3 linked regions of the Oreochromis niloticus genome follow. The protein of the gene in region 1 interacts with the protein of each later gene in a pairwise test. Links are inferred from orthologs where the notes say so. Each region holds a gene or a part of one and is shown on either strand. Other genes may lie near its edges.

Region 1 (11,498 bases):
GTAAACACATGATTCGCTCAAAAAGGGGTTTCAGTTCTCCTCTTTTAACGTGTACATGCCAAGAAGAAAAAGTGCATGCTGACTAATGATACTGGGTTTAGAAAGAGTTTAGTATAAAGTGAGCCTCTGGATGTATTCTTTTCCAGTTTTATTAAAAGTTGGATCATTAAAATGAGATCCTGCTAAAGTAATAAGTTAATGCAGCATTCAGTTTGGGATACATGCCCAGTAAAAATACAGTTTCTATATCTCGATATAAATGGGTTATAATAGCTGTCCTTTTTTTCTTACTCCAGTCCAGTGTAAAGCCAAATTCCAGTCTCCCAGTTTCCATGTGGACCAGCCTGTCCAACTGCAGGTCTTCCTCCGAGCTGACTGCCCTCATCCTGTGTCTTTCGGCAAGCTAGCTGTCAGCCTCAGTAACCAGGTACGTGCTACAAAAAAGGCTGTTTGTATCTCCACCTCCATGTATGATACCAGCTTGGAGCGCTTTGTCTGTACAAAGTCCCACAAAAGTCTTGTGTTTATTTCATGTATCTACTTGAGTCTGTAATTATCACCATCTTTGTTGGACAGCTAGTTAAAAACCTCTGCAGTAATACAACCCAGACTCGTTCATGTTCACCTCGTTTTAGTGCAAACAGCTGTGACTGAAAGTAACATTAACCTTCCTTTCACTGTTTTTCATGGTTATGCTGCAGTAGCTTAGCTGTCTATCACTCAGCCGTAAAACACCGATGGGGTATTGTATGTGACAAAGGTGTTTTTGTTTATTAGGAGTACAACCAGTGGTGTGTGGCAGAGTGGTCGGGCCAGGAGGCCATGAGTCTGTTACCAGGAAAAACCACATGCTACAATTTCAGCTTTGTGGCAAAAACTGAAGATGTTGGTAAGAAGATAGAGGTAAGGAGACTTTTTTGTTTGTGATTGTGAGACAGAGACAGGGATTGAAACGGTGATTAATACGTGTGTTATTATAGATGACGGGTATCGAGGTGATGTTGGGTGGCGACAGTGGCCGCTGTGTGTTTGTGAGCTGGAGAGGAGCAGGTGGAGACGCTGCGTCTGCACATGAAGCCTTGCAGGCCAGCAGGTGTTCACGGCGTTGGGGCCGTAACATCGAAGCGCGTCAGGAGCTGGACTGGGACAGCCTGACCATGCAGCACAGCACCATGTGAGTCAGAAAAAGTCATTACCAGCCCGTCAGTTTGAACAGTGTCAGTTTACACGCTGGGATCAAATCAGCAGAAATGGTTCTTGTGTTTAGGATCATCTCCAGAGTCCCAAAGATCTCTGTTCAGCTGAGCCACCAGCCTCCTGCACTCACCAATGAAATGTACTGCATCAAGCTCACTGTCCAATCACAGGAGGAGGCCATGGCTAAAGATGTTAAATTAACTGCTGGCCTCAAACCAGGTACATCAGTACTCTAATCATTTTCAATAACATACAGCAGCAAACAAATGCTAATTTAGCATTTATCTTGGTTTGCATGTTCAGGTCAGGATGCCAATCTAGGCCAAACCACTCACGTGACACTCGACGGGTCAAAGGTTTGTGATGACAGCGCACCTTCCTTGCTCCCCGATGTGCCTCTCGGAGAGCTGAAACCGGGCGAAAAGGTGACTCTCACAAAGAAATGTCAATTCAGCATATCGCGCAAAACAGCAGCATTGTCAGGTTCTTCACAGCAAAAGAAGAAATTTGAGTTTGTGAGCTGTGTGTTTGCCTCTAGTTGGAGAAATGCGTGTATGTCAAGTGTGTATCAACCGGACCCAGGGTCTTCTTGTTCCACGTGGCCTACAGCATCGACACCACAGTAGAAGGACGACAGATTATGTGCAAGTGTCATAAGGTAGAAAGCTTGTCTGACCTGCACAGTACAGCTAACAGTCGGCTCAGTGATAAACAGATGTCAACGTTTGTTTTACTTTTCTGGTTTACACCTCTTTTTTTCTCCTCTTCTCCAGGATGAGACGGTAACCATAGAGACACTTGTTCCATTTGAGGTTTCGGTCAAGTTTGTCTCCACCAAGGTGTGTAGTTAGGTTTACCCGCTTTCATTTTAGCTTGGATTTTACTAATAGTCAGGGAGGTGTGAAGGGATCTTAATAAGCTTAATATCATAAAATACAAAAGCAGGAAATGAGAAACATCCTGATTTATCTGATTACATTTACATTAGAGTAAGCTACCATACACCTACCTAAACAACCTGTTTGTTGACAGCTTCTTCTAGAATTAGAATCAAGTTATGTAGAGAAAAAATCTACTGAAACAGACGAACACTCCAAGTACAAAGTAAAGGACAAAAGAAATAAGTAAGAAAAAGGTTAAAGTAAAGAGAAAAGCAGGAGCTTTGGTATGTTGCATTCAATTAAATAAATTTCATTCCATTAAAGTAAGATAATGAGTCTTTTTTTATAGTAAGTCTAATAGAAATGATTATTATCGTCTCTGCTTCTGTGTGCTGCTGCAGTTTGAGCCATTGGACCGGGTATCAGTGGACATTCCCTTTCTCCTAATGACTGACATCCTGTCGTCATCTCCGTGGCCTCTTCTGCTGACTTCCTCTTCTCTGCAGCTTCTTACTGTGACCAGCAACACACCACAGCTTCAGTCGCAGTTACAGGAAGGTATCCGAGTACTTAACATAGTTACCTAAAATTTCCTGTTTAGATTTATTGCTGAAAAGTAAAAAGTGTATGTTTATGTTCAGTGGTTCTACAAACAGGGGAGTGTGCCAGTGAGTGTTTCTGTCTCCGATGTCCGCCACAGACCAACATCAATAACACGGTGGCTACAGGACAGTACCTGCTATCGTGGAGGAGGTACGTACACGTTAATGGAGGCTTTGACATGCTGCTGCTGGGTTTTCAGAGGGCTTGAACAGACTTCTAAAACTGTTTTACAGAAACTCCTCCAGTCCAGACAGTCCTCTCATCCAGACTATAGTCAGTCTGCCTCATGTGGTCCTGGAGATGGTGCCTCTGTACATCCACGCTGGTCAGTACGCAAGCATCGCATGCACACAGTGTTCCTGATTTTACAGATAATATTCCAATACACTAAGTAGAATTCAAAAAATGTTCTCATTATTTGCATTTGCAGTTGTGAAAGATGTTAACCTCTGGCTGTTGGTGGTGTTACATTGTTGTGTTTTGATGTTTTTCAGATTTGCCGTCATTCGGGCGAGTCAGGGAGTCTCTTCCTGTGCGTTACCACATAGAAAACAGAACGGCTCTGGTGCAGGAGGTGGAGATGGCCGTGGAACCGTCCGATGCCTTCATGTTTTCTGGTCTCAAACAGGTACAGCTGCGCCACCTGTAGGAATGGTGTTATAAGGGCTGATGGGTCATATTGATTGGACAGTTTTGGTGATGTCATCGTGCTTCATCAATACATTGAAAATCTGAGCAGCAGCACTGAAACTTGCATGTGTGTGTGTTCTATCTATCTGTAAATATAAAACTACATTTATTTTAGCTTTACAAAGAGTCACTGTGTGGCCTCTGGCTTGATTGTACCAGACGGTCCAGAGTCACTTTCACTTCAAACATTACCTCATTCAAGGTTCATCTTGACTGCCTTGACCTAGCCTTGATTTTTGGCTGCACATGTATCCAAATGACAAATCCATTTGTGTGTGTGTGTAGGTGCGTCTCCGTATCCTCCCCAGTTCAGAGCAGGAGATGCTCTATAACTACTATCCACTGATGGCTGGTTACCAAACACTACCACAGCTCAACATCAGTCTGCCACGTTGCCCCACCTTCAGCACTCAAGCTCTGAAACGCTTCCTCCCCCAGCGTATCTTCGTCAAGGTAACACACATAGAAACCCATAAACACTAAGGTCAAAGTGGAGATGTTTTCCTTGTTGGGCTAAAGCATCGTTTCTGTCTTTCTCCACAGCCTCAGGGTCGACAGTTGGATGACGCCTCCATTGCTGCAGCTTGAGGAGAAAATGAAAGTGTTTCTTGTAAATAAAAAGAAAAAGCAGCATTGTGTACTGCAGGTAGTTCTAGATGTATGATACCACAGAGATTACACAGAGATTGACATTATTGACACTATTTGCTTAGATCACCTGTTGACCAAACACCAGCAAGCATCGAGCACCGATGATCATTTAACAGCTAAGATCATGTGTGAGTCTGATGTGAGCTTCATGGACATTTGAGGAAAGTTTAATATATGAATAGGATGTGATGATGATTTGATTAAACTGAAGTGGTCTAAACCTGCTGTGTCTACAACCCTGAAAGTGTGAGACAATTGTGCATACTTTAAAATGGCTACATTATATCGATAAAGTTGAGGGTCATCATTATGTTCAGAAGTGGGAAAAGGGTTAGTTGGTACTGAAAGACAATATAGGAAAGATAGACATCTGTCGCTACTGCCCATTTTCTTTTGGTTCATGCATTTTAAGCAATAGTAAAGTGATCAGGTAATGCTAACAATATGACCCGAGTCTGAGACGCACACATACCACCTAATTTTTGCTTCTTAGTTCTTAGACAGACTGTAATTTAGAACATATTTATAATTCAATTAAAATGTTTTAAATACTTTTAATTGGCCAATAAAGGAAATCAGTTTTTTCCACATTATCAAACAAGTTTATTAATTCACTGAAGCTTGTTGGCTGGTTCAAAAATGGCAGGTTGTTAACTCAGCAAAGATGAGTTGTACTGTCAGCACTCAGATTATAACCACACCAAAGTAAAGTGACTCCATACTGTAGTGGTTTACACATTTGCATCATCTGAGGTCTGTACTACAAAGCAGGTTTACTCTGGGGCTAACCCTGCGCTGCAAAGCTAGTTTACTGCGTACTGCTGTACATCGCCATGGTAACTTGTGATGGGAACATAACGTGCTTTGGAGCACGTTATGTTCCACATTAAATGTCAACAGGTATAAAATCACCATCTGCTGATAAACCAAGTTTCCAGAAAATATCCGTACGATTCTTTGAAGATCTCTGTGTGCGAATAGTAGCAGGAGCTCAAGTATATTAAGTGTCTGAAGCCTTTGTGTTTCCCAAATGAGCATCAGTAATAAATACAGATTCTTAGATGCAATTTTATTCCTTGCTTTTTATTCGTTTTAATTATTTTTTTTACCTTTTGGCACAAAATTTTGCATCATCAGCGTGATTTTTTTTTTTTTTTTTTAACCTTAAAAAGTGATATAAATTGCATGACACATTTTTAATGACTACATTGCAAAATATGGCTTATGTAGCAAACGTAATACAAATTAAAACTCGTATATGCAGATTAAAATTTGATGTATTTATATATTGTCTAAAGGTTCAGCAAACACTCCATTATCAAAAAAGATAAAGGTTTCTGGCAGTTATTTCATGGTTCAGGTTTTAAAGGTTTAAGAACAATTAAGTATTATAAGAATTAATATATAAATTGGATCAAGCGCAGGTAGACTCGGCCCATATTTGATTTGTTTTTGTTTTGCTTCTTTAGCTGATCTCAGACCAGTACACACTCAGGGCTGCGGCCAAAAAACAAAACAAAACAAAACAAAAAACTAAAGCTGTCTTATGCAAATTTGGATATTATTTAATGGAACAACAGATTATAATCAGACTCTCCTATGTTTTAACAATAAAGTTCTGATCATGATAAGTCTGTTAACATTCCCAACCGGCATTTCTGTCGGCTTTTCTTTTAAGTCCTCCCTGAATTCTGAACAACAGTTTTCTGTCTTCAATTACCATATCAGGCTTCAATCACTTCTTCTTCTTGATTTCCAAAGCCATCCCACAGACTACCATCTGATGCTGCCTAGGTACATTCACCCCCCACACCACTTTACAATCTCATTCTCAGTCTAAAAAAAATTGAATTTATCAATGGATTAATACATTTAGAAATATTTATTTATAACTACTGTTTTTACTGTCGAATAATTTATCACAACATTAATTCCTTTAATAATAAAAAATCATGAGCAAATGTATGTACTAATGAATATTTAATTGCACAATTAATTATTTATCAATGAAATTGTTTATTTCGATGTGCGCGACTCTCTCGGTCCTCCACACCTAGAGGGCGATATCTCAACAACGCCAGACTGACGAATCTCCAAAGTCTCGCAGAGCCAAGTTGTCGCGATAGCTGGTTGGAGTCGGATTCAAATTGTGGCGCTTTGGCTGGTCGTTAAGAAAGGTATATTTAATGCTTGTTTTTGTTATTGTCAGTTTATCTATTTTATAGGCACTTCGTCAGTAGAAGAACTGCTCACAGTAGAGTTGTTGTTGCTAAATAAAGAAAATATCGTTAGTTCGGGTTTGTCATATTGAAATCTTAAGCCTCCCCAGCCTTAGATTGTGTGGACAAGCAGGAGCTAGCTGTCTTTACGTGACTTGTTGACATATTTTGGCCGATACTGTATGCGTTTACTATCTGCTGTAGCTGTTGCGTATTGTCCTCCTGGACATTTACTGTCACTATTAAACTTATTAACGGCGGGACGTTAGCTTCTGATTAATTGGAAAGAAGGAAATTAAGGCTGTATAGCACTGTCTTACATAATAAACGAGAACACGGTATAGACCTTAGCATAAACGGTTGCATTTATGTATGCCTTTCTTGATTACTTTTGTGTGTCACTTTTTAATACATGCAGTGTTTCTGAGTTGGACAGTGGAGTATTAAAAAAAAACAAAACTATATTATACTGAAAATAAAGCAGGATCCCAGCTTAACAGCAACAAACCTGTGTTACACTGACAAACAGGTTAGTAACTTGTGTGACTTCCAGTTAGTCCCACTGATCTGTGAGCTCTCAGATTTCAAAAGCTGCACCTGTCTACATGTGTTCATCAGACTCCAAGTGACAGAGAAAATGAAAACGATAGATAAAATAAAAGTCACATGGTGATAGCAAATAATTCAGGAACTGGATATTGAATTGTTAAGACTGACACCAATATTTGTTCATTCAAAAAGCTGATACATCAAATTATATATATTTTTTTTTTAGCTTTCAGACACATTGTAAGTACTTACTAAGATATTAATGACAATGCAGGTTAATGTTGTTGAATCTTGTTTAATGATCACAAGACATTGGTTACTGCTGGACTAGATCAGCTAGTTGTTGTGTTTGTGGCATTTTTTAATATTTGTTGTCAACATGGCAGTTGCAGAGTGCCCGTGGACACTTGTTATTAAGACAATATAAGAACAGTGACACTGAGCAGCTCCAGTCTCTGTTGAGCTCCTGGGCTTTTTCAGTAATGACTGAAGCACACAGCAGATTTTAACACACATTTCTGTCCTTCCCTTTCCAGATGGCAGCAGAAGAGGAGATCAAGGTACTGAGGATCCAGCTCAGAGAGAAGGAGGAGCAGGTTCATCAGGCTGCTCAAGCTGGCCTGGATCTCCTCAACCAGCAGGTGGAGCTGCAGAACCGACTGGATGAACAAAGAGTAGAGATGACCAACGCCCTTGAGGTCCGCTCTTACACAAATAAAGAGAAAGAGCTCCAGTAAACTGTGCCATGAACCCAATACAAATGTCATTGTTTTCCTAATTTTTCCTCCTGTTGGTTATCCAAACTAACTTTATCATTGTTTCAAACTTCTCCACCTGTCTTTGTATGATGTGTGTGCCACAGGCTCTCGAGCAAGACAAGTACTCGTTGCAGAAGGAAGTGGAGCTGAAAACTCGGATGCTGGAATCACTGCAGTCGGACTTTGACTGTGTGAAGAATCAGCAAAAACGGTACCTTCAAGAACAACAAGAACATCTGGAGAGGGCTCATAGCATGGCACTCAGTGAGCTTCACAACAAGGTACAACAGCATGTGGTCTGAGGTCTGTACTAGCGATAGGCAGCTATGCTGAGTATACAGAGTTATCAGAGTTCCTTTACCAGGTTAAATGCACTATGGTAGCTTACACTCACCAGTAAAAGCCCCAATTCTTGAGTGGCTGTTAGAGCAGTAAAGTAAGATACTTGTTGAGGTATAGCACGCTGTTACTGCCTCCAGAACTGCCTTAATTCTTTGTGGGGCTGGAAACATGATTCAGAGAATCTGGTCCATATTGAAATGATGGAGTTGCACAGTTGCTGCAGATTTGTTGGCTGCACATACATGATGCAAATTTCCCATTCCACCACATCTCCAAGGTGCTCTGAGTATGAGTACAGTGATTGTCCTGTTGTAGAAACCAGTTTGATATGATTTGAGCTTTGCATTATGCTGTGCATTACACTGCTGGAAGCAGCCATAGAGACACTGTGGTCATAAAGAGATAAACATGTTCAGCAACAATACTCAGACATGCTGCAGGATTCAAACAATGCTCAGGTAGTGCTAATGGGCTCAGAGTGTGCCAAGAAAATATCCCTCACAGCCTGACTGGTACACGGCAGGATGGATCCACGCTGTCATGTTGTTTTCCAACCTGTGATTGTAGTTTTTGCTCTCTCAGATCCTGAGGTTGCAGTCTTCTCTAGAGGAGTCCCAGCTGAATGAAAAACAGCTCAAACACAAACTGGAAATGCAGACGGAGACGCTGAATAACAAGATGGAGGAGCTCAGAGCTCTAAACGAACACACGCAGAGTTCCATGACGTCGGAGATGATGGAGGTGCAGATGAAGATCACAGAGCTGGAGAACGTTAAAGTGAGTGACTTACAAAGGAAAGTTCTACAGACAGCTCATTCTCACAGTGACAGTGTGATAATAGAGACCATCCAGAGCTGAGCTGCTCTGTTAAGCTGTTCACATAAAGGCTTGTGGATTTGACAAGCTGCTTAGTTTTTCCAGATGTTTTTGGTCCTTTGAGCACCACAAAGCATGTACCATCCATGTCCAACCAGGTCAACTAACACGAGAAGTATCTAGATGAATAAAGATGATTAATGGCATGAGAAGAAGGGGTGTTCTCAAGTGGTTGTTGAATCAGCAAGTGATGTAATCTGTTTTGGTCCGCCAGGTGGAGCTGGAGCAGGAGCTGCAGGAATCGCAGTACAAGGAGCAGCAGCTGGAACTGAGCAACAGCAGCCTGCAGCGGCAGCTGGAGCGAATCACAGAAGAGAAGGAGGAAAGGGAGAAAGAAGCGGTGTCCTGGTTCAATGCATTAGAGGTAAACATGTTACAGTCTTTGTGGATTTAAAGTGAAAGCAATAAAACACTCATTCCCTCATCTGCTCTTCTCTGTGTTGTGCAGTCACACCAGGCTGGACCTGGAAATGCCTGGAAAAGTCTTGAATAAGCACTTTCACTAATCTCAAAATAGATTATTATATTTTCAATCTAAAAATCTTAATTAAAAGATTGAAATTAGGAAAGTAGGAGCTGATATTGTGCATTTAAAAAATAAATATTAAAAAAATAAAATAATCATTATTCGAGTAAGTAGAATTGGAACGATGACCAGAACGTTGGCTCACGTTCTGGTCATCAGCCTGGTCTCTGGAGCACTCTGATGAAGCTCGTACTTGCTGCTGGGTTGGTTGTCCCTGACTCTGCTGCAGTCATGTCCTGTGATAGTCTAATCAGGGCAAAGCCAATCATATGGCGCAGCCAAGTTTGAATTCTTAGAGAAGCGTGTTTAGTTCCATACAATAAGATATCCATTAACCACATCAGTAAGCATTTCCTGCGTACACTTAGTTACATTTTAAGGTGCATTTCCACAACAAAAGAGTGGTCGCTTCAGTCTTTTCTTCTTTGGCTCTCGGAGGAGGCGGACACACTTTTTCTCCTCTCCCTTAGCTTCCCTGCTTATGTCCTTGTCTAGTCTCGTGTTTTTCTTTGTATTTTCCCTGGAACACTCTCTCACAGTCTGTTCTCTAAAACCTAAAAGAGGAATTATGGATTTGATCAACTGGTCCCTGAATGCAATTGACACCCTTTTCTCAACGAGAAGTCTGGGCTTGGGTGAGCCTGAGTGGTGAAGATATCTACCTATTCGGAACCATGGTAACAGGGTTCTTGCTGATCGGAGCTGGCTTGGCCCTGACTTATCGAAGAATTAAGAAAGTGGAACCGGCTGTTCAAACCCCCACAAGGCTGCCCGCTGGGATTGGAACGATGGGAAGAGGCGTGAGTTTCTCAAAATGGGCTCATTGAGTCAGCACGGATAAGATCTTGGAGAGGCTACGGCTGCTGTGAACACTCAGAATAAGACCTCTGACTGCAGACTGGATACATCTTGGAAGCGCTAGCCCGGAATAACATCTCTGGGCGCAAAATTGGATGACATCTCGGGGAGGCACACTGCCGTGAGTTCTCAGACATTGGCTCCTTGAGCACAAGAAGTGACAACATCACAGAGCGCAAGTATGGCGAAGCTCGCGGCTCTCCAACGGGAGATTGAGAGACCAGTGTTGGACTGTAGAACTGCTTTGAAATTCATATGAGCTGTTCGCACTAAAGTAAAAAAATAACATCACTTATGCGGATACCCCTTTGGCCAAAACTCCCTGATAACGACTGTGTTGAGTCTGTTCCTTCCCATCCCATGCAAGGCCACCTGGGTTGGCTGGAAGACTGTTTACTTAGCCTGGCAGGGCGAAGGACACTGTCTCAGCTGAACTCTGGACACGCACACACATACATATACTGATACTGATAAGCACTCACCAACGCATCACCCTCCCTACCCCGGATCCAACGCCACCTCCAACGCTTACCTCCCCTCTGATGTGGACATCGGGTCAGTTGGAGGCGCAGTCGAAAGATTGCAGCGGTCCCAGATTAGATGCACACACTGGAACTCTTTCCCATGTTGCTTGTCTGTGTTTATTGTGCTATGGTGTGTTGATATCTGTGCATTCCTGTATTATCCTTTTGTGTTACACATTTCGATGTTTTTTTCCTCGCTACCTGGCCTGACCTGTCTCCCCAATGTGATGTTTGTGTATTGTATGTATGGTCGGCAAGGTCTGTCATCTCGGTTGCGGGCAAAAGACCTGCAACTGACAAATAAAGGCTATCTCATCTCATCTCATCTCATCCTTTCTCTCCCTGTAATGACAGAAATCTCGTGAGGCCAACAGGGATCTGCAGATCGAGTTGGATCAGGTTCTTCAGCAGGCCCAGGATCCAAACAGCAAAGGGAACTCTCTGTTTGCTGAGGTATAAAAGAGTGTTTCACACTTTCCTTTGACAGCAGGTCTGTCTCTAAGTCCAGAGTTGTGCTCCTGAGAACTCGGTCTTGAATCGAACCTGAAACCTCAGTAAATGGCTCCATGTTGTGTTGCAGCTGGAGGATAAGCGGGCTGAGATGGAGAGGCAGCTCATCAGTATGAAGGTCCAGTATCAGTCGCTGCAGAAAATACACGCCTTTAGCAAACAGCAGATGCAGCGCTTGAAGGTACTGTGTGATAGCTCATCTGGGCAGGGTCGCTGTTTTGTAACTGATTGATTGTTGGCTGACGGTGTGGATGTGCGTGTTTGGTGCAGGTGCAGATAGCCACTCTGATGCAGCTGCAGGGCTCCAGGGCTGA
Region 2 (11,152 bases), on another chromosome or scaffold:
GTTTCGTCTGTGTTATTCCCCTCCATTTTCCTGCGTATTCTGGCCGCATTATTCTCCCTGCATCTCCGTTTCATGTTTCAAGGTTTCAGGTTTGTTTTTTGCTTAGCTTTTCCCAGTTTAGTTCATTCTTAGGTTTTGGGTTTTCGCCCACCTCTTCTCCGTTTGTGTCATCCTTTGGTTATTAAAGCTCGCTCACCACTTAAGCAGTCTGCATCTTGGGTCCTTATCTACACTCCACACGTCTGCCACATCGGACGTGACAATCTGTCCTCTCTGTCCAAAATGTGAACGTTGGCATCCTCGAAAGAGTGACCTTTATCCTTTAGATGCAGATGGACTGCTGAGTCTTGTCCCGTGGAGGTGGCTCTTCTATGTTGTGCCATGCGCTTGTGAAGTGGCTGTTTGGTCTCTCCGATGTAGAGGTCTGGGCATTCCTCGCTGCACTGTACAGCATACACCACATTGTTCAGTTTGTGTTTAGGAGTTTTGTCTTTCGGGTGTACCAGTTTCTGTCTGAGTGTGTTGCTGGGTCTTGATGTGGTGTGGGGAACACCCCACACCACATCAAGAACTCCACCGACTTCACCGACAAGGTCCAGAAACTTACCCTGGATCCAGATGAAACCATGGTGTCCTTTGATGTATTCTCCCTCTTCACTTGCATACCCACCACGGAGGCAGTGGAGACTGTCAGAAAACGACTACAAGAAGACAGCGCCTTGGAGGACAGGACTTAACTTCACACCCGATCAGATTTGCACACTGTTAGACCTCTGCCTCACCACTACATATTTCAAATACAACGAAGGCTTCTACAGACAAAAACATGGCTGCGCCATGGGCTCCCCCGTGTCACCTATTGTAGCCAACCTTTACATGGAGGAAGTGGAAAGGAAGGCTCTTGGCTCTTTCAAAGGGAGAGTACCCAGCCACTGGTACAGATATGTAGACTACACCTGGGTCAAAATCAAAACACAAGAAGTGGAATCCTTCACTGCGCACATTAACGCCGTGGATAAAAACATCAAGTTCACCAGGGAAGACACAAAGGATAACTGTTTGCCTTTCCTGGACTGCGCTGTGCACATTGAAGAGAATGGCAACCTCAACATTGAAGTGTACCGGAAGCCCACACACACGGACCAGTACCTCCTCTTTGACTCCCATCACCCTCTGGAACACAAACTTGGAGTAATTAGGACCCTACACCACCGAGCAGAACATGTTCCCTCTAAGCCTGAAGGGAAAAAGAAGGAACACACACATGTAAAGGAAGCACTTAAAACATGTGGCTATCCTAACTGGGCGTTTATAAAGTCAGCAAAGATGCACAAAAAAGAAGATCAGACACCAGCGAGGGAGGATAAGAAAGACAGACGCAACAACATTGTCATCCCCTATGTAGCCGGTGTATCAGAGAAACTCAGGAGAGTTTTCTCCAAACACGACATGCCAGTGTACTTCAGACCCAGCAACACACTCAGACAGAAACTGGTACACCCGAAAGACAAAACTCCTGAACACAAACTGAACAATGTGGTGTATGCTGTACAGTGCAGCGAGGAATGCCCAGACCTCTACATCGGAGAGACCAAACAGCCACTTCACAAGCGCATGGCACAACATAGAAGAGCCACCTCCACAGGACAAGACTCAGCAGTCCATCTGCATCTTAAGGATAAAGGTCACTCTTTCGAGGATGCCAACATTCACATTTTGGACAGAGAGGACAGATGGTTTGAAAGAGGAGTGAAAGAAGCCACCTATGTCCACTGTGAGCAACCATCTTTGAACAGAGGCGGTGGTTTACGACACCAACTGTCTGCCATCTATAATCCAGTTTTGAGTTCCCTTCCCAGACGCCTTAACGCCCACTCACATTCTGGGCCATCTGACCTCAGGAAATCACATGGGGCCAGGTTTAACAATGAGCTCACCCGAAACCCTGGCTGATTGGGACCCACACCCGCTTTCACACCTTGGCTCATGTGATTAGGTAGAGGATCATCAGGGGGTCCTTTGTCCCCCTTTGGGGGGAAACTCCCACTGGGTTTAAATCTGTGACTCTCCACCATTTGACCCTTAGAACTGAAGAAGCTTCTCGGATGAGAGGTGAAACGTCTTCAAGCAACTTAAAAAAAGATCCAGACGCTTTTATTTCCAAGCTCCTTAGACTACGATGACCTGGATGACTGAGAACCTTCACAGACATTTTGTAGTGTTTCTTTTCAGTCACAAATAAAGACTCGTTTTCAGTTTGAAACATTCTCTCCTGCATCATTGTCTGCGCCTGAGTCCATCCCTCTCAATCTTCACTCTGTTTGCCTTGCAAACCGTGACAGTACGCTCCGACAATAACATGGACCCAGCAGACCACAGGCTGTACAAGCGGCAGGAGGCAGCCATCGCCCAGCTGGAGGAGGAGCTCTACTTGAGGCCGTGGTGCACTCCTGACTACGGGCCCACATTCTAAGGAACTCGGCTGGCTCTTGGCAGCCACCAGAGCGGTCCCTCAGGACTGCCGAAAGCCCCCACCAAGCTGTGGCCGCTTCAGGTGGGAATTCTGCTCATGCTCTAGCCTCGGTGTCGCCATTCTGCGTGCCGGAGGCTCAGCTGTTTACCCCGCTCGATTCCACTTCCCAGAGAAAGCAGCACTCAAGCCGTCGCATACATACTCCGCTGAGCAACTCCCGGTGGTGAGAGATTATGACTGTTTTTCACACTCTCCTCCTGAGTCCACAAACAATAGACTCAGCACAGATAGGTTTGGTGTTTCTCTACTGGATGATGATGTGGACTGGGAAAACCTTTTTGTTTTTGCTCCCTCTGAGCAGGGAAGGATCAAAGACCATTATCACCCTCCAAAAAAGTCAAAGTCAAAGACTGTTGGTTCGAGTTCTGTCCGGTCGGGTTTAGTCAATTTTGGTTCTGTCATTCCTGAGTTGAATAACTCTGAGACTGTGTCTCCAAAGATTGTTAAATCAGAGACTGTTCTTTTCAAAGAGTGTTAATCTTGGTGGTAAAAATGCAAAACCCACTTTGGATAAGTCTTTGTTTGCTGAGCCTTCTCCTTTGCCTCTCTGTGTTCCTGCTCCCAGGGGAGCTCAGGCCTGGCCTTTCCCTGCACCCATTTCAGTTCCTCAGGTGAGGGAGGCTGAGGTCCAGCTGGTTCACGGCCGCCCTCACCCTGGGAGCCAGGACAGGTAAAGGCAACCGCTGGGCAGCTGCTGTTCCCACCCGAGGAACGGGTGCAGGGACTCAGCCGGCCTGGGAGCCAGAGCAAGGACCAGCTGACCTCCGCCTCCCTCACCTGAGGAACTGAAACGGGTGCAGGGAAAGGCCGGGCCTGAGCTCCCCTGGGGGCAGGAACACAGAGAGGCAAAGGAGAAGCACCCTCCAGCACCCATACCTACTCCTCGGGTGGGAGTGGCTAGTGTCCGGTTCCTGTTTCTGCTGGAGGCTCAGGCGAGCCGGTCAGGCCCCTGTCCTCATGTCGTAGAGGCTCAGAAAGGTTAGTTTAGAAAGGTTAGTTTAACAACCATCACCACCATTACTACAACCATCATTACCGCATACACTACAGCCTTTGCTTCGAGTCCCTAGTTCTATCATTAACTCAGCTGTTAGCTCAGTCTCCTGTTTTGTTGACAGCTTAGTCTTCAGTTCAGTTGACAGCTCTGTTACCAGGTCAGGCATCTGTTCTGTTACCAGTTCACTCATTAGCTCTGTCGTCTGCTCAGCCATTAGATCACTCCTTTGCTCACCCACCTGTTCTGTTACCATGTTCATCAGCTGAGAGCTCTGAGCTCTCTCAGCCTCCCTCAGCTACTTCCCCTGGGAGTTCTGCCAGGCCATCTCAGTTTTCTGTCTTTGCTGAGAGCCCGTACAAGCCTTCCCAGCGGTCCACAGCAGCTTCCATTGAGAGCTCTGCCGGGTTGTCTCAGCCTCCTGTCTCCGATGAGAGCTTGTGCGAGCCATCTCTACAGTCTGCAGCAGCCTTCACCGAGGGCTCAGGCGAGCTCATCCTGCCCGCAAAGGACTATGCATTGCTGCAGCCTGAAAGGCAACCTGAGCTGGCTGTCTGTCTCACGCAGCTCCAGCTAGCTTCGCCTGAGCCAGGAGTTTCCGTACCTTCTGGTCCTGCATCTGTTCCAGCTAGAGGTTCAGAGGAGCCAGTCCAGCATCATGTCAAGTCAGCTGGGGGTTCAGGATAACTGTGCCAGCATCATGCCACGTTAGCTGGGGGTTCTGAAGAGCCTGGCCAGTATCATGCCACATCAGCTGGGTGTTCTGGAGAACCCGGCCAGCATCTCCTCGTGTCCACTGACGACTCTGTTGAGTTGAATTGGCTTAGGTCTTATCTGTCTGATAGAATTTTTAGTGGTAACTTTTTGGGGTAGGAGTCCTTTTCTGCTGCTCTTCAGTTTGGGGTCCCGCAGGGCTCAATTCTAGGGCGTCTGCGTTTTTCATTGTATTTACAGCCCTTGAGAACCATGCTTAGAAAGCATGGAATATCCTTCCACTGTTATGCCGACAACTGTCAGATTTATCTGCCTCTGAAGCAGAAAGATCTTTCTCTATTAAACCCCTACTGGCATGTCTAGAAGATATAGAATCATTTATGGCCCTAAACTTTTTTAATTGTAATTCAAGCAAAACAGAGGTGATCCTGTTTGGTCCTAGAAGACCTTATGGTTCTTCCTCTATTGATTCGGGACCCCTGGCAGAGTAATTACAACTTGTTGTTACTAACTTGGGTTCTAAAGTGGACAGTGATTTTATATTGAACACAAAAATTAGGGCTACTGTGAAGTCCACTTTTTATTCTTAATTAATTTCATTTCATTTAAGGTGCTTGACAAAGGTAAGACCTATTTTATCCGGGCTGCATTCTGAAACAGTAATCCATGCTTTTATTTCAAACGCTTAAACAGTTTTGACCCATCTTACCTCTCTGGGCTTCTTCATCCTTACTCAACCCCCAGGTTTCTCAGGTCAGGTGACAATCTGGTCTTGGTGCTACCCAGGTCCAAGAGGAAGCTCAGAGGGGACAGGACCTTCTCTATCGCTGATCCTAACCTCTGGAATAACCCGCCCCTGCACATTAGAGAGGCCCCTTCATTGTCCATTTTTAAAACACATCTTAAAACCAATTTTTATTCCTTGACACAGTTTGACCCTGATTTTACTGCTCTGATTTAATCTAATGTGCTGATTTTATTATTTTAATTTAATCAATTTTTTTTATTTAAGATTTTTTAAAAATTTTATTTAATGTATCGGGGGGGGGGGGGGGGGGGGGGGGGGGGGGGTTGTCATGTTAAGTGTACAGGACTTTGTTTTCAGCTGGTAGTTGTCTGAAAGTGCTATATAAATAAATTTTTTCCTTGCTTGCTAACAGGTAAACTCAAAAATCAGTTTTATTCCTTGTTATCTGTTGACCACCTATTCCTTACACAGACTTTCTGTCTGATTTTCAGACTATTTTTAATCTGATTCAGGGCTTTGCTCAGATAAAATATTTATTGTGTGAGATTTTAACATCCATGTAGATACTGAAAATGACAGCATTAACACTGCATTTTAAGCTATTATTATGGGAAGGCCTCTTCTTTCAAAATGTTTAAGAACCCACCCACAACTTCTCCTCCTTTAGTTACACTGCATTAGGTCTAGGGTGCTGGGTCCTTGCCATAATGTATATTCTTTTCCACTTACCTTGTTTTTCAATCACTGTGTGTTTATGCACAACTTTGCATTTAATTGTTAGTTATTATTCAGTTCTGGATCTCTTCCATAACAGTTATAGTTTTCTGTAAACATTATTAGACCGATAAAAGGCCCTTTCATATAAGCTAGGTGCTCCCAAGACCACCTTTTTACTGTCATACTTTTAGTTAACATATTTTGTTTTGCACTATGCATATTTTATGTCATTACGACATTTATTGTGGAGATTCTCATGTAGGAACTATTGTACTGCATGTTGGTTCCCCTGGTGCGTCTGAGTGAGATGCACACCCATGTTAAAGTATGAGCATGGCAAGCTTAATGGCAACCCCAAGTTTGTACAACTCACATTAAAGCAGAGGTGATAGTGATAGTTGAACTCGGACCTGCATGATTCCCGGCCCCCTGGTGGCAACATTGTGTCACTGCACCAAGGACCAGGCTGCTGCAAATATTAATCGACACACACGTTCACCAGTTGCTTCTTCATAAAGATGTCCGGAAGCCAGACATTAAAGTTGTGTTTGGAAAAGTGACACAAGGTGGGAGAAACAATAAGAAACTGTGTGAAGCCTGACAACAACAGCACCAAACGGTAGCAAGAAGGGTAATGGCCTGTATTTATATAGCGCTTTTATGGTCCCTAAGGACCCCAAAGCGCTTTACATATCCAGTCATTCACCCATTCACACACACATTCATACACTGGTGATGGCAAGCTACGTTGTAGCCACAGCCACCCTGGGGCGCACTGACAGAGGCGAGGCTGCCGGACACTGGCGCCACCGGGCCCTCTGACCACCACCAGTAGGCAACGGGTGAAGTGTCTTGCCCAAGGACACAACGACCAAGACTGTCCGAGCCGGGGCTCGAACCGGTAACCTTCCGATTACAAGGCGAACTCCCAACTCTTGAGCCACGATCGCCCGGGAATTAATGCAATCAAGTTCACAATTCATTTCTAAAGTCAAGTTAAAAGGAGGTTAAGGAGATTAAGAAATAAATGCATAACAATTCAAGAAAAACAAAAATGTCACAAACAAATGAAACAGAAATTGAAGTTTCCAGTGCAGAACAAGCTGCAGAAGCAGAGCAAGTGGATGAAACCTGTTTAGAGCAAAGAGTGGAAGTAGAGCTGCATAGAAGTGAAAGGCCTCACATGCTCAGAGAAAAGGGAAAAGAATTCCATAAAGAAAGGATACAATGGCTTCAACGCTGCTTTGACAGTATTTATGACAGATGCAAAGCATTAATCAAAGTTGCAAAAAATCTGTTTAAAAGGAGATCCACTTGACATTCTTGAAGGTCACATGAACATTGTACAAAGAGAAGTAGCCAAGCTTAATGATATTTATGATGAGTATAGAGCAATGGATGGACCACCTCATGATATGCATTCCAAGCTAGACAAATCCACCTCAGTGACTACAGTGATTTTACAAAACATCAAAGGTCACATTAAAGGAGAAAAGCAAGAGGAGATTGTATGGCCTGATCCTAGCTGTATATTTACATCCTCTTGCTCTGTTAGTGTCTCAGTTCATAGCCAGTTTAAAGCCAATAGAGTTATTTCTAATGGCTCCTCCACCAAAAGACAAGAAGCTGCAGTGGAGTATGAAGCCACAAAGGCTTTGCTTCAGATTAAGACTGAACAAGAGAAATACAGAGAAAAAGTACAATTGCGTGAAGAAGAAAAGAAACGCTTTACTGCAGAACAAGATGCTGCTGCAATGTCACAATGCCTCCTAGAGGAGAAGGAGGAAACTGAGGCATGTTAAAAGAGAAAAGAAGAAAGCAGCTGTGATAAAGCGACAACAAGAGGAAGGTGCTGCATTGAGAAAGTCATTTGAGGGCTTGAAAAGAGAAATTGAAAGATGGAAAATCTAAAAGGATTCAAGGCAGCAAAAGCAGAACTACAAGTTTACGAGGAAGACTACTTTTCAGTGAAGCAAGAAAGAGTCACTCCTGCAACCACCCCTGCAAACGTACAGGTAACAGAGTTCAACAATGCTACTAATCAACCCTCAGAACTAAAAAGAGAGGTAAACATCACTCATTGGAGCGCAGGTGAGCTTGTAAAGGTTTTGGCAGAAGCAATGTCAGCTAATAGACTACCTATTCCAGAGCCCTCTGTATTTAGTGGGCATTTACTTAAGTTTAAGCATTGAAAAGCATCTTTTCAGGCTCTAATATTGTGAAGGAACATTCCCACTGCAGAAAAGATATTTGTCTTACAGAAGTATGTTGGCAGCTGTGAAGCCTTAGATGGGTATTTTCTGATTGGCTCTGAAGATTCATATGAGGCAGCATGAACGTTATGAAGGGCCTTTTGTCAATAGCTAACGCCTTTAGGGACAATTTACACTCTTGGCCAAAGGTCACAGGAAAAGATGTATTGCAAGTATTGCATGTAATCCCATTATATCATATCAAACCATAAGACAAAGTGACTTTAACAAATCAAACACAAAACCTCAACCTAGTATCTGTAAGGTGCTCATTTCTGCCACTAAGCATGGGTCAGTTGACGAGGTATGTTATATATGTTATGTAGATAATTTTATGTCTCTATTTTACCCATTTTACTGTTGTGTTTTATGTTGTTAACTGTATGTTGTGTTTTAGTTCAATCAGTTTGTGATCAAGGTGATGCTGTAACAATATCATCCCCATTATCCTGATCACCAGTGACAAGGTAAGTGAAACCAGATAATATAATGATACCCTCGGTATGTTGAATTTGCTTTATAGCATACGGCACTAGTCTTTACTCCAGCCACCTTCATTTGCTGTTTGTTACTGCCCTAGTCAGCCTTCAGTGACTAACTTGAGCATTTAAGAATATCTTATTAGTTAACCTGGGGAAACTTTTGGGTTGCATTGGGTCATTATCCATTTGCACTGTCAAGCACCATCTGAATAGTTTTGTAGCATTTAGCTGAATCTGAGAAGACAGACAGGAGCTGATTAACAGTAATAACATTTGAAGTGAGTTATGAGAACCACTGAGCCAGGGTCTGGTAGCTTCTCCTCTTAGAAGGGAGATGTTAGAGTTAAGCTTCAGTGAAAAAAAACATTCCATTAAATTAACCTCAAAGATGAGGATGTTATGAAAGAGCATTAGGGCCCGTGGCAAACAAAAAGTGTGTGAGTCTTTTGTTTTGGGGTTTTGTGTTGTTGATGTTGTTTGTTTGTTTTTCCAGAATTCTAAGAAAAAAAGCTCCGTCTCCAATCCACTTGAAGATACAGAATTTTTTCTTCAGGATTCTGGAAATACAACAACAACAAACAAATGGAAATGATGCCCCCACTTTTTTGTCAGTACCCTTAATCCTCTTACGTAGGTTGTTGAGTGCACTTTGTGCCGAGAAAGTGAAAGGTTTTGATTTCTGCTTTGCGGATTTTTATAGAAGAATATATAAAAAATATTTAGTGCATTGTGGTTATGCATTACGAATTTCAGTTTAGGTTTTTCCGACAAACTCAAAGTCAGCATTTTGTTTATGGTTACCATAGTAACATGACGAGGTGCGACGGGAATTGACGTCGGATACGTTTATGAAACGAAATAGAGCGATTTTTTAATCAAAGCACAACCTTTTGGCTCTTCTAAAAACAGGCGAATCAAACATTGAGCTCAGCTGTACCAAAAATGCCTCTGGTCGTGATGGACTACGTCTGGACCCAGACGGAGACGACGCTTTACATTAATGTGCCTCTAAAAGGAACGAAAGCCGGGAAGGTAGACATTGTCTGTACGGACGATTACCTCAAGGTAAAGTTCTGAAAAAAGGAGTTTTGTATTTTTACTGTTTGTGTATCAAATACTATATCTATGCGACTTTACCATGAGCCTGGTCTCAGTAAGAGACTAAGCTGGACTGCATAGCATTTTTTTTCTGTGTCACACAGAATTGAGACATCGTGAAACGATGTCCCGCAGTTTGATCAAGTTTATGAGCAGCAGCCAACTCAGCTGCTGTATATATTTTCGAGCGCTTCTATCAATGCTTTTGTAGTCATCTACGTGAAAAGGAAAAGAAGGAAAAGAAATATATAAATATAAATTGCCCTGACCATATTAAGCTGTCTGCATGAGTTTTTCCCAAATGCATCATTAAAGCCCCCCTCCCAACCGGATATTTTTCTACCGTCCCCCTCTGTCTGCATAAAAGCAGAGTTGGAACACACTGTGGTACCATACCCTCGAGAAAAAGGCAATTAACAATGGAAGAAAGACAGACCATCATAACACTTAAAAATATAGGTCTTTCCTATAGAGAAATTGCAAAGAAAGTCAAAGTGTCAGTGATTACAGTTTCCTTCAGCATCAAAAGGCACTCAGAAACTGGGGCAAACTCTGATAGGAAGAGGTCTGGCAGACTCAAAGCCACAACCTAACCAGAGGACAAGTTTCTGAGAGTTAACAGCTTGTGTGATAGGCGGCTCACAGGACAACAGCTTCAAGCACAGCTTAATAGAAGTTGTAGTAAGCAAGTCTTAGTTTCAACTGAGAATAGAAGACTTCAAGCTGCAGGTTTGACAGGACGAGTTGCAGCAAGAAAAAGCCAGTGCTAAGACGTCAGAATAACTATATATATATATAAAAGAATTGTATATATATATATATATGTATATGTATATATATGTATATATATATATATATATATATATATGATTATTTTTATGTATATATATATATATATATATATATAAATTATATATGTACATCAAAATTCTATTCTAATTAATCGCTAAACAAGAACCAGAAGATGGTCTTACATTTCTCTTAACAACAATTCTTACAGTATAACATGTATTCATGTTTTTTCTTCTTCACAGGTGCATTTCCCCCCTTATCTGTTTGAAGCCTTCTTGTTTGAGCCTGTTGATGATGACAGAATCGCAGTAAGGGTTGCAAATGGATGTGCAGTCATCACTTTGCCAAAAAGGACCAACAAAGTGTGGGAGCATCTGATGATAAGTACAGGTAAAAGCTTCAACTTGTGGTCATTTCAATAAACAACAAGGCTCTGGTCTTCTGAACCCATGATAATGTGTCATTGAAAGAATGACTGACAGATAATACATTGTCTCTGACAGTTCAAAAAGAGACAGTGTAGGTCATGCAGCAGTCCTGAAATTTTTGATGTGGTAAGCTGGATGTTTTCCTGTGAACAGTGTCTCTTGAGGGCTTTTATCTAGCAATTACAAGCTTGTAAAATTATTTAAAATGGACTTGAAACACTTCCTGTATAAAGGCTAATTTACATCATGGAGCCCTGGTCTCATAAACTGACAAGGATACAAAAGTTACTGTGTAGCTGGATTTAAGACATAAGTGCTGAAAGTTAAAGTTATCAAAACATGTTTAGCGTGACATCATCAGATTCCCAATTGTGCCTCGATAAGAAACATAGTT
Region 3 (10,541 bases), on another chromosome or scaffold:
CCTGCAAAATGCTACAATTCATATCAATATGTCCTGTTCAGAATTTCCATTGGCATTTTTAAGTGTGCTACTGGAAAGCATGCAAAGCATCCACAAAATACATGAAAAACTACTTTATGAAAAATAACTTTTGTTTTTTCCAGCTAACTTCACTGTGTGCTCCCTCAATCTTCCTGTTCTTCTACAACCTCTCTGTCCTCTCTCTCTCTCCATCCTCTTCACTCAGCTAGAAGCTAGAAAATGACAACAAATATAATCTCATAATAGTTATTATAGAACAGTAATAAGTATAAGAGGGGTATCCACAACTGACAACAGGACAGCAGACTGCTTACATACGCAAACTCATCATCAATGAATGTGGGAAACCTACAGCTTCATCATTTTTGGTGAATTTGACTACATTTCCACTCTTACCAGTTTCTTTTTGCTCTCTTTGCTGTCTTCATCCTGTTCTCTCTCTTTCTCTCCCTCTCTGTCCTCTCTCAGTCTTAAAACTTAAATGTTACAGTGAATAAAAGGCATAAACTGATCCATATCAGTTTATAGCAATATTCAAACTGAATACAGGCTGCAGCTGGACATAGACAGGTTAGACATAGACACATTATTTTGGCTTGCTGTCACTTGGATTTGGAGCTGTAGTGTAAACAAACACTGAAGCCAAATTGCTTGAGCAGCCCAAAAAACAGTTTTAACTCACCTATGCCCCATAGTGAATGCCTTTCAAGTTTCAAGTGAGACCATGCTTCATCAGCTTTTTTTTTTGTTTCAAAAAGACATATATATGAATTTACAGACTTCCCAAGGTCCATGTCAGCTGAAGGGACAGGGTAACCTGGGCCTGGACCCCTGGGAGCCATTCATCACACAAGCATTGACTTGGGATGACAACTTTTGGCAATAAGATGTGGACAGCCACTTTGGGGCCCACAGTGGTTGAAATGTTATGAGGCCACGATTGTGTTTTGATGCTCTAACAGTCTCCTGCTGGCAGGTCAGCAGTCACGGCCTGGATCCAACCTCCACCACTTCTAACGTCCTCTGTTCCTCCTCCGGGTTTCTTAGTTCTCCTCTGTCCACTGTGGGACTTCATATATTATGATGAGCCACATCTACCTGGGGAGCAGGCCATATTGGTACAGTCATGCCTTAAGCCTCCCCAGTAGTCAGATTTATTCGTGTCCTTCAGCGGTCCCTCTGCTTGTGGTGCTTCTTGTGTTGTGGACGTTGTTTCTGTCGCTTGGTGAATTGTCATACCACTTTCTCAGATTGCACTTGTCAGCGATATTAACCTAGAACCTAGAACCCATTTTGCCTGCATGTTGGAAGATGTCGTGACTGTAAGGTATGAAGCCCCTTATTGCCAGTTGTCTTACGTTTTCCACTGCTCCAATGATAGTGACGTCACGATGAAGTTAATGCTCATAGCAAACAGGAATGGTGACGATCTCTTTCTGTAGGTAGTCTTTGGCCTTGAAGCGGTGCTTGAACCCTCTCAGGTAACTGCTGATTATTACCTTGATGTGGTCTGGGATGTGATAGTGCTTCAGTGCTGTTCTGAGAAGATTGTGAGGAATTAGCCGAGTCCAGCCAGACTGCTGTCAGATTTCTTTGACCTGGCTTTCACGTATAATCTTGCTCAGGACCAGGGCCATTTTTTTTTTTTTTGCCATTTATCTGGGTTTGGGTCATTGAGGCAGCAGACTAAGAAAAGATGCTCAGACCCACTTCTTACCTGGCTATAGCCTCTAGGTTATCCAGCAGAAATGTTTTTGACCAATGCTTTCCCAAGGCAAGTAAGAGTCATCATCTCTCCAGCATGTTCTCTCCCAGTTACACATGCAGGATCCATCCTCATCAGGTGTTCTCTCTGAGTCGTCCTAGATGAACAAGCTCCTCACCTGTCTCTATGTCCCTGAAGTCAACTTGGGCAGCTGGGGATGTGACTGCCAAAGCCACTGACTCTTACTTGATCTACAAAGCACCAGACCCTTATAGCTCCCTCTGCCTCCACAGGAGGGTGGACTCATGAGTCTTGTTCTGGGTCCAGGCCCAGTGGGCTAAGGCTCGGCCACTCAGTGCTCATTTGAATGACACTTAATCTGAAGACCATTTTGCTTTGGGAGGCCCACCAGAAAAAGTTTCTCTCGACAACACAGGTCTTAGGAACATGGTGATGGATGGAGGGGTTATTACAGTAAATCAGTGCAAAATATTAGACCATAAAAAAAATAAATCTAAAGAAAGCAAAACAACATAAATCTGGGCAGACAGAATTATCAGCAAGTTCAGAAAACCAGCCCGAAAGGCCTGGAAATAATATGACATCTGTGAGTAAGTTTAAAAAAAAAACCCCAAACAAACCCAAAACATCCATTTGTAAGAAAACCATTCACTTCTCCATTACTCCTTGAGTAGTTTTACAACGCTTTAACATCAATTTAAATGGGATTTTTCTGATTTAACATTATCTTGAAATAAAGTGTTATCTCTTTTTAATTCAAATGTGATTTTTTCACATTTTTAAAAGGAACAGCTGGAAAATAAAATGCATCATCTTAGGCAGCTATTCTTTCAATAAATTAAAAAAGCTACAATTTTCCACAAAATAGACCCAGCCTTATTTCAATCGCAGACTCTCAAAATTGCGCACTATTCTGATGATATTCTGATGTTATGTTTTAGGACATTCATTTTCTGGATAGACCTGTCTATATCTACTTGTAATCCCAAAATGTAACAATTTATGTTCCGAGTTACTTTTGCCCTCATGACATTTTGTATGTCGTCACAGTGAGACACAGAAAATAAATTTGACTTAAACAAAAAAGTAATGACACACAATGAAAACAATGTTGCCTTTGATTCCAGCCCACATCTAAGTTCCAAGCTCAACAGACAGCTGTGTTTACAGCATGTATTCAAGAGTTAAACCAACCGGTTACAGGTGGACATTTTAAAAGCAGTGATGTAACCTAGTCCTTGAACTTTAAATGGATCATTGTATTGTAGAAAACAAATTTTCAACCATGTAAAAACCTGAAAGGAAACTCTGTGGCCATTATTCACTGCACAGAAGAGCAGTGGCTCTTTGCAGTGCCTTAAACCTGGATTCTTTTTAGCACAGGGCCAGCAGAGGGCGACTCCTCTAATTGTAGATAAGTGTAAGGAAAATGCCTTTCAGTTTTTTTGATCTGTAACTTCAGTTATACTTAAGATTGTAAGTTAAGCTTTATTAAATAGAACGCAGTGCTGATTTCAGATATTATTATACCCCCAGTCAGAGTCAAAAAGAAACATAGAATAGGGAATGACATAGGACCTACCTTCAGTTCTAGCCAGTAAGCTTGCAATATCAGTCCTGACATGCAGGGGTGGATCTAGAGAAATATTCCTAGGATGGCGTGAGGGTGACAGGGAAATCACATGGGGTGGCAAAATCAATGTGCAGGTGTTACATTCTGTAATATTTATTATATATGCTTAAAATACACCAAATGCAGTAAGTATACACCTGTTTCCTATAAACATGGTCAGTAACCTTCTTATTGGCTTTAGGCCAAATAATAAAACATTTCCGTTACATAAAAAATGTGCATTTTGATTTTATATATAGGCTACTGTGTAGCCTATATATTAAATAAACATGTAGCTCAATAAGTATAAAATCCAGAATACTACACAACATGAGGTGGATCAGTTGGAAATACAATTTTTCTAATTTAAGTTTCACATTCTTGTGTTAGAAATAATCAAACTGTTACATGCTTACAAAATGTCAGGAATCTGCACTGTCATGACCAAGTTTTTCACCAAAAATTTGAAGTGATTTTTTTTATGATTTATGGGGTTATGATGCTCACCTTCATTCAGTTTCCAGAGTGTAACAATCAACCACCTGTGTTGAAATCTGAAATGCCCATGATGGTGATTCAAAATATGCTCTGGCACAATCACAGATATCAGTTGCTACTGACAACAAGAAATACATTTTTAATTTTTTGAATCTATATTGAATTTTAACTAGCTAGGCTCAAAGTGTTAATGCTAGCTTATTTTAATAAAAAAACAAAACAAACATTGTCATATGTCAGAGGATTTGCTTTTTTTTTTATTCAGCTATGATGACACTCGCAAAATTGAGAAAAGAAAAAGAAAAAAGATCCAAGGCTCTCTATCTTCTTTACTGTGAGGGTAAATATAACACAATACCACTTGATGGCAGCAAGCAAACAGGTAAATGCAAAGCATGAAAAGAATTTTCCAAAGAGCTAATTAAATACTCATTATTGACATGCTGAGCTGTAGTGACTAATTGTTTCTTACAGAGCAAGGTAATCTGACTAAATGTGACGTGTTTGATGGCAGAAAGCAACAGGAGGAAATCACTCTGGACAGGAGAAGACATCTGCATTGGTAAAGAACATACACTAAAGAAGTGAATAGGTGTCACTAGCTAAGTCCATCAGATTGATTGAAATACCAGTATTAAATAGAATAATTAGAGGCTAAATTCTGCTGGTTTTGAGTAATATCTCAGCAAATTCATTGTATTTGAGTATCACCACAAGAAAGTGGCTGTGAATTCAGTAATCAAATAATCTATGAAATTTCTACATTTGATCAGTTTGTCTTAATTTCTTTACATCTGAAGTAGAATATATCAGACAAGTTCTTCATCTTACAACTTACAAGGCACTGGAAGGCATGCAGCCACTGACTGCTTTAATTATTAATAAAAAGTAAAGGAAACAAAACTCAAAGTAGTATGCAACAGTGTTCCTACCTAAAAAAAACCTCAGCTCATAGCTTAAGGTCTTGTGTTTGATTACACAACCACCACACGTTCCGTCTCCAAACAGGGATTTAGTTGCTCTTCCTGGGTGATACTATTACAATTTAAGAACGCTCATATGTCATTTCAGCAGGAACTCCTATAAGGTTTTTTGGGAGTCAGAGGGTAACAACCTGTTCTGTTACTTAAGTAAAAGGATATGTTGTGTAATTTAACAATTTAAGTGCAAATTAGACTTCTGCACTTCCTCTTGGCTCTTGGAAAACCTAGCAAATCCCATGATTTGGTAACTTTGGGAATTTCAGATGGGGAAGACACTCCTGTTGGCTGTTCTTTAAATGTTGATGCTCCTGCACATCAAGGGAGCTCTTCTTCATTTAGCTTGCTCTGAGGACAGTTTCCAAGGACAGTTTCCTGATAAAGAATGTAGGGTAATTAATGAGAGCAGCCTGGAGGATATGGATTAGGAAAGGAGGGAATGAACAAAGGAAAAAATGTCAATACTATGAATTATTTGTCCCATTTGAGACTCCACCTCCCAAAAAATACAGTAAAATTGAAAAATATATAGTTAACTTACAAATGACAACAACTGGTAATTAAAGAATGTATAACAGGGTGAAATATAAACCACTGTTCAGTGTTCAAAGTCATTTGTGATAGGCCATGAAGTTGTAGCCAAAGGCTTCTGTGGGTGTTTGAGAGCCACTTTCTTTGTCCATCTTGAAGCCATCAAGTCTGAAGTAGAGTTGGCCTTTCACTTTCACCCTCATGCTGCTTTTTGCATGTTTTCTCAACCACTGCTGTTTCCTTCACCCAAGGGTGGATCTGTGGCCTCCAACAGAAACACCAGCATGACCTTCCTGCCAGCATTCCAGCACACACACATACACACAACCACTTTGGTTCTGAAAACAGCAGAAAGGCTAAAAGAGCATAACAAATAAATCAAGAAAGAAAAAATAATTAAAGCCGATATGCTTTACAGTTTATTTTCACCTCTGAACAGAGGGAGCATACAGGGCAGGGAGATGAAAAAGAAACACTGTTGTGACATTTTATGCCAGGGTGAGCAAGCACACCTGCAGAGACAGAAAGGAAGAGAGAGAGAGAGAGAGAGAAAGAGAGAGGAAGAGAGAGAGATAACAGTAGAGCAAAGTAGCGAGAGAAAAGAGGCGGAGCAACACAGAGTAAAGAGCTGCTCAGAGAGGCAGAACAGTCTGCACACATCATCAGCTTGTCTCTTTAGGAGGACGAGAGCAAGAGAGAGTAAGAAAGGGGGATAAGAAGAGACAGACAGAAAAAAGGAAGAAAAGAGAAACTGCATCAAAGAAAAGACAGAGTTGTTGCTGAGCTGGGAATCCATCCAGCAGACTTCAGAGTGACTGGGAGCCTAGTGGGAGGACAGACTGGTTTCTAGCCACAGGGAGTAGACTGCAAAGCACCATGGCTGACAACGTGAATGAGGAGTCGGATTATACCCCAGGGAAAGATGAGCTGGACTGGGGCTATGAGGAAGGTAGGCTGGGATTTCTCAGTATGTGAAGGGATGCTGGAGATGTGTGAAAAGCTAAGGATCAGGAGGAGTTTCAAGGGGGACTCAACCCAAAACTTTACACTTTTTAAAAACATTTAAAAAAATACAATTTGATTCTTTAGTTGGATTTGGGTTATACACTGTACAACATCTGTCAGAACACCGGCTTCATTATTTTTTTAATAAACCACTAATGGTTTTACTCTCTCATCTCCTATGTTGTAGGTTGCTCGAACGGCATGATTTACAGTCAGTGTTATATAGAAAAATATCACAAGAACAATATCACTTCAGTAAAGTTGCCAGCAAACCAGTTATTTATCACTGCACTGCTAAAGGTCTAGGAGACTTGCATCAGACAGTTGTTGGTCAGAGAGTTTCAGCAGAGCAAAGATTACCTTGGACTCTACAAATCATACAATAAAACTCAAAAATGGCTTGGCATTAAGAGCTGTCACTCATATATCACTCATATACTCATATATCTTTGTCTAAAGAGAAACTGAATAAAGCACATAAGCACTTGAACATAGGTTACAAATATTACTGTCATACTTTCAGTATGTCATGTAGTTATGTGTTCACTTTGTCTTTCTGGTAATGCTGCTTTTACTGAGCATCGAGGGATATACTGTCACACTGAACTGTGAAATTCTTACTGTAAGTATACTAAATTATATGGAATACCATGTATGTCTAAGACACTAATATCTGACATGCGAATACCTGGTTAGGTTAAGAGGAGATGAGAGGTTCCCACAGGAAATTCCTCATCTTAATTTATAAGCACAAGCACAGAACTTCCTTGCCATGAGCTGACAGTGCTTACTGCTGTCTAATAAGCAAAAGTTTCCTTTCTTAGGACTTAGCTAAGGTCTCAGTCACATAGACCTAGAGGTTGGTTGACCCCCTGACAACCTCTGATCACCAGGGAAAAATGTTGCTCGCAAATCGTTGCTGCTATTGCCAGGTGAAATCAGCTACACCAAGAATCTGCTTGTGATAGCTTTGGTCACCTGCAGTTTGCATGGAAGACACAGACTTTTCTACAAAGAGTTGTCATTTATGCCACAAGCTTTAGTCAAATGTGGAACAAGTGCAGTATAAATTGGGTTAGGGCTAGGGTTAGGGCTAACCCTAACCCTAACTTTTACTCTGACTGCAAATGTTCTCAATTTCTCATTTTTGTCACTCTTAGTTTCACTAACAGTTGGTGAGTAATTTGCAAGTGTTTACAGAAATTTCAGCATCTTCCATATAAACTGCTGCAAAGGTGGCAGCCTGCTAGCAAGTAAAGTAAAGGGGGTTTCTCAAAGAAGGGTTTTGGTGTACCACTTTACATCTGCTTGCAAACACTTTCTTGATAAAAACAGCCAGCGACTTCCAGCAACCACCCACAACCAGGTAAAGAAAGCACATTTTTCTGCTGCAACCAGTGAATTACAAGGTCACTGACTGACTGGTTTTGAGGTCTCTGTGCGAGTTGATCAGTTGATTTCACAGAGACTGCCAGAACCTCCAACAGCCATTGAAGGTGCACTATCAGATGGCCACCAACAGGTCTCTAATGCCTCTGTGGCTAACAATCAGGCACAGTCATTTCTTGATTAGCTTACACATAAGAATGATATCATCTAACACTAAAGTTAACAAGAGAAGAAATAAGCTTACAACCCCCAAATTTTTTCAGTGACTGAAATAAAAAAACACAATTACTCACAAAGCTAAGTTCTTAATTTGAGGTCATTAAAGCAACAATCCGCAATCTAGTAGTGCCACTGAAATTCTCACTGCCTTTAGTAAACTGTTGTTAAGGCTTTAGTTGCTGAGGAAAGCGAGAATGTGACTGCTCCCCCTTGCCTCTTTGCTACGGTGTGAATAGTCAGCCAGTGAGGGCCGTCTGTCTGCAGTCCCAACAGAAAGGCACACTGTGAGGCCTGAGCTCCTTTTCTTGGAGGCAGATGGGTGTACTGGACTTTCCATGAACACCATACTGCCAGTGTGTGTTTCCTCTTTCTAAAAACACAGCAGGTTGTGCACATTATACACATCTCTTACTGTTGCAGTCAGCTGAAAGTGAAGCAAATTCTGTCTTTCAGTGGTATCACTTTCTCTACACTTTTTGCTCTTCACACTCTATTAAACAAAGGCATTACTATCTTACAAAATATTTCAGTGTTGTGCTGTTGACAGGTGACCTGTCTCATTTAGGGCAGACTTGCCCTGTTTTTACAACTGCAGTCTGCTTAATTATGCTTTTATGAACAGTAATCTCATTGTCACACTCACTGCAAGAAATCCTGTTTACTAGACACTGAGAGGAAGCAGAAAGAAACTCAGGATCAGAATGAGGACAAGGCAAAGAGGAAGAGGGACTGAAGACCAGTTTTAGCCAGTCTCGTGTCCCCCACACGTTCTTCTGAAACCACTCTTTTCCTCTCATGCACACACCCAGCTCTGTTTATATCACTTCAGGGAATATTATTTGACTTTGATTTTGTGGCGCCAAACCCCAATTTAAACCACAACTACTATTTATACAAACTTTAATTTAAAGTTTAGCAGTGCTCACCACCTATATATATATGTGTGTGTATATATATACATATATAGAGAGCAACAAACTCTAATAAATAACTAATACTAATCAAACAGTTGTCTGTGTTGTAATAGAAAATAATAGTGCCACTTATGGTACCATAAATGGGCTTTCATTGTTACTAGGCTACCACTGCCATATTTATTATAATAATTAGAGGTCATGACTTTACTGCTTGTAGACTTGCTGACAAAAAGAATTTCAGACACTCCCCTCTTGTATAAAACAGCACCCACGTTTTTCCAATAGGAAGAGCAAACTACCAGCCAAGTTGGATGACTTGTTGAAATCTTAACTGGTAACTGTACTCTAAACATACAATTCCCTGGTCTAGTACATGTTTGCTCACTTGCATGGCTAGTGCTTGCTCACTAGCCATGCAAGGGAGCCTTGTTAGCATGGCTAACAAAAAGAAGGGGATTTTTCTGGTATGGGAAAAAGACCAAAGCGAATGACAGCTGAATTGATTGTTCAGTTTCAGGGTCAGTGATTTGGTTGCACCAGCTGTTGGTAAAATAAATCTCTAAAGGTGTATCTTAATTCGGATACTTGTGTTACTGGCACACAACATTAAGTACACAACATATTTACTTGTTTCCTACATGAATTTAGACTGATAGCATGTTCACCAATTAAAACCTGAGTTGTGCACTTACTGAGAATGGCATTTGAAACCTTTGACTGCGATTGGATTGCTAGCTGCTGTCACCATCTGATCACAGATTGTGCAAACTTTCACCAAAAATCCAGAAGCAAAACTGCAGAAAGTTAGAAACTGATGCCCTTGAGCGAAAGAAGAATTGAGTGAAGAAGAAAAATAGTGTTACTATTTTTATGACTGACTCCATAAACTCATTCTTTTACAGAGTTTTTACAGAAGTTTTTTACAGAGATTTTCCCTCTAGACTTCACCGGAAGTCTTTTTGTAACCATAGATATCCATCCAATCCACGTATCCATCCATCTAAGAGGCAGGGTACACCCTGGATGCCAGTCTGTTGTAGGGCTTATTGCAACCTGGTACCCTTCATATGGCATGCAGATTAAGCCGCTTCCACGCTGCTTTCATTTTTAGCAATGACCAAACCCTTCATAAGAGCTGTTTTATGTGGTGCATATTGTTTAAATATGCACCACATATTACAGCTGCATATTACAGCTAGTCAAAGTTTGAACTTTGAAACAGCTGGTGCAACAGTTCCCTTTACTTTTAAGTGTGACTTGGCAGGACACTTAAAACTGTGCAACCATTTTTAATGGTCATGTTCTTAGTAAGCCTATATTTTACAACAATAATATGAATGTGTGCTCTATTTCATGTGCATTTTTATGCCTATTTTCGTTCATAAAGGTGTAGAATGGGGACTTCATTTCCCAGCAGCCAATGGCGAGTACCAGTCTCCCATTAATCTAAACTCCAGGGAGGCTCACTACGACCCGTCACTCCTGGATGTTGGATTGTCACCAAACTACGTGGTGTGTCGAGACTGCGAGGTCATCAATGATGGACACACTGTCCGTATTATTCTTAAGTCCAAGTCAGGTAACTCCCAGCAGCCATGACATCATGTCAGCAAACACAAATTGTTGACTAAACTGCTTTGAAA

Evidence for each region.
Region 2: the proteins of spdl1 (region 1) and dnaaf4 interact in binary tests that used the Homo sapiens proteins (3 or more experiments, as listed by UniProt). The two-hybrid records come from large-scale screens. The link is inferred for Oreochromis niloticus from reciprocal best matches to the Homo sapiens genes SPDL1 and DNAAF4.
Region 3: the proteins of spdl1 (region 1) and ca8 interact in binary tests that used the Homo sapiens proteins (3 or more experiments, as listed by UniProt). The two-hybrid records come from large-scale screens. The link is inferred for Oreochromis niloticus from reciprocal best matches to the Homo sapiens genes SPDL1 and CA8.

The regions. Positions count from the first base shown.
Region 1 is NC_031966.2:4,896,477-4,907,974, forward strand, and holds the start of spdl1 (protein Spindly), read left to right. Parts: upstream 1-6,069; 5' UTR 6,070-6,199; intron 6,200-6,638; exon of another isoform or gene 6,639-6,770; intron 6,771-7,326; coding exon 7,327-7,488; intron 7,489-7,652; coding exon 7,653-7,829; intron 7,830-8,472; coding exon 8,473-8,667; intron 8,668-8,980; coding exon 8,981-9,130; intron 9,131-11,028; coding exon 11,029-11,127; intron 11,128-11,254; coding exon 11,255-11,365; intron 11,366-11,454; coding exon 11,455-11,498. Other genes in the region: trappc11 (trafficking protein particle complex subunit 11), read left to right, coding at 297-427, 778-903, 981-1,174, 1,268-1,416, 1,501-1,622, 1,736-1,855, 1,971-2,036, 2,480-2,636 and 5 more. UniProt on the Homo sapiens protein: Required for the localization of dynein and dynactin to the mitotic kintochore.
Region 2 is NC_031972.2:38,648,197-38,659,348, forward strand, and holds the start of dnaaf4 (dynein axonemal assembly factor 4), read left to right. Parts: upstream 1-6,598; 5' UTR 6,599-7,721; exon of another isoform or gene 7,722-8,355; 5' UTR 8,356-8,425; intron 8,426-8,933; exon of another isoform or gene 8,934-9,047; intron 9,048-9,219; exon of another isoform or gene 9,220-9,349; 5' UTR 9,350-9,382; coding exon 9,383-9,505; intron 9,506-10,572; coding exon 10,573-10,720; intron 10,721-11,152.
Region 3 is NC_031982.2:2,296,654-2,307,194, forward strand, and holds the start of ca8 (carbonic anhydrase-related protein), read left to right. Parts: upstream 1-5,987; 5' UTR 5,988-6,244; coding exon 6,245-6,317; intron 6,318-10,285; coding exon 10,286-10,477; intron 10,478-10,541. UniProt on the Homo sapiens protein: Does not have a carbonic anhydrase catalytic activity.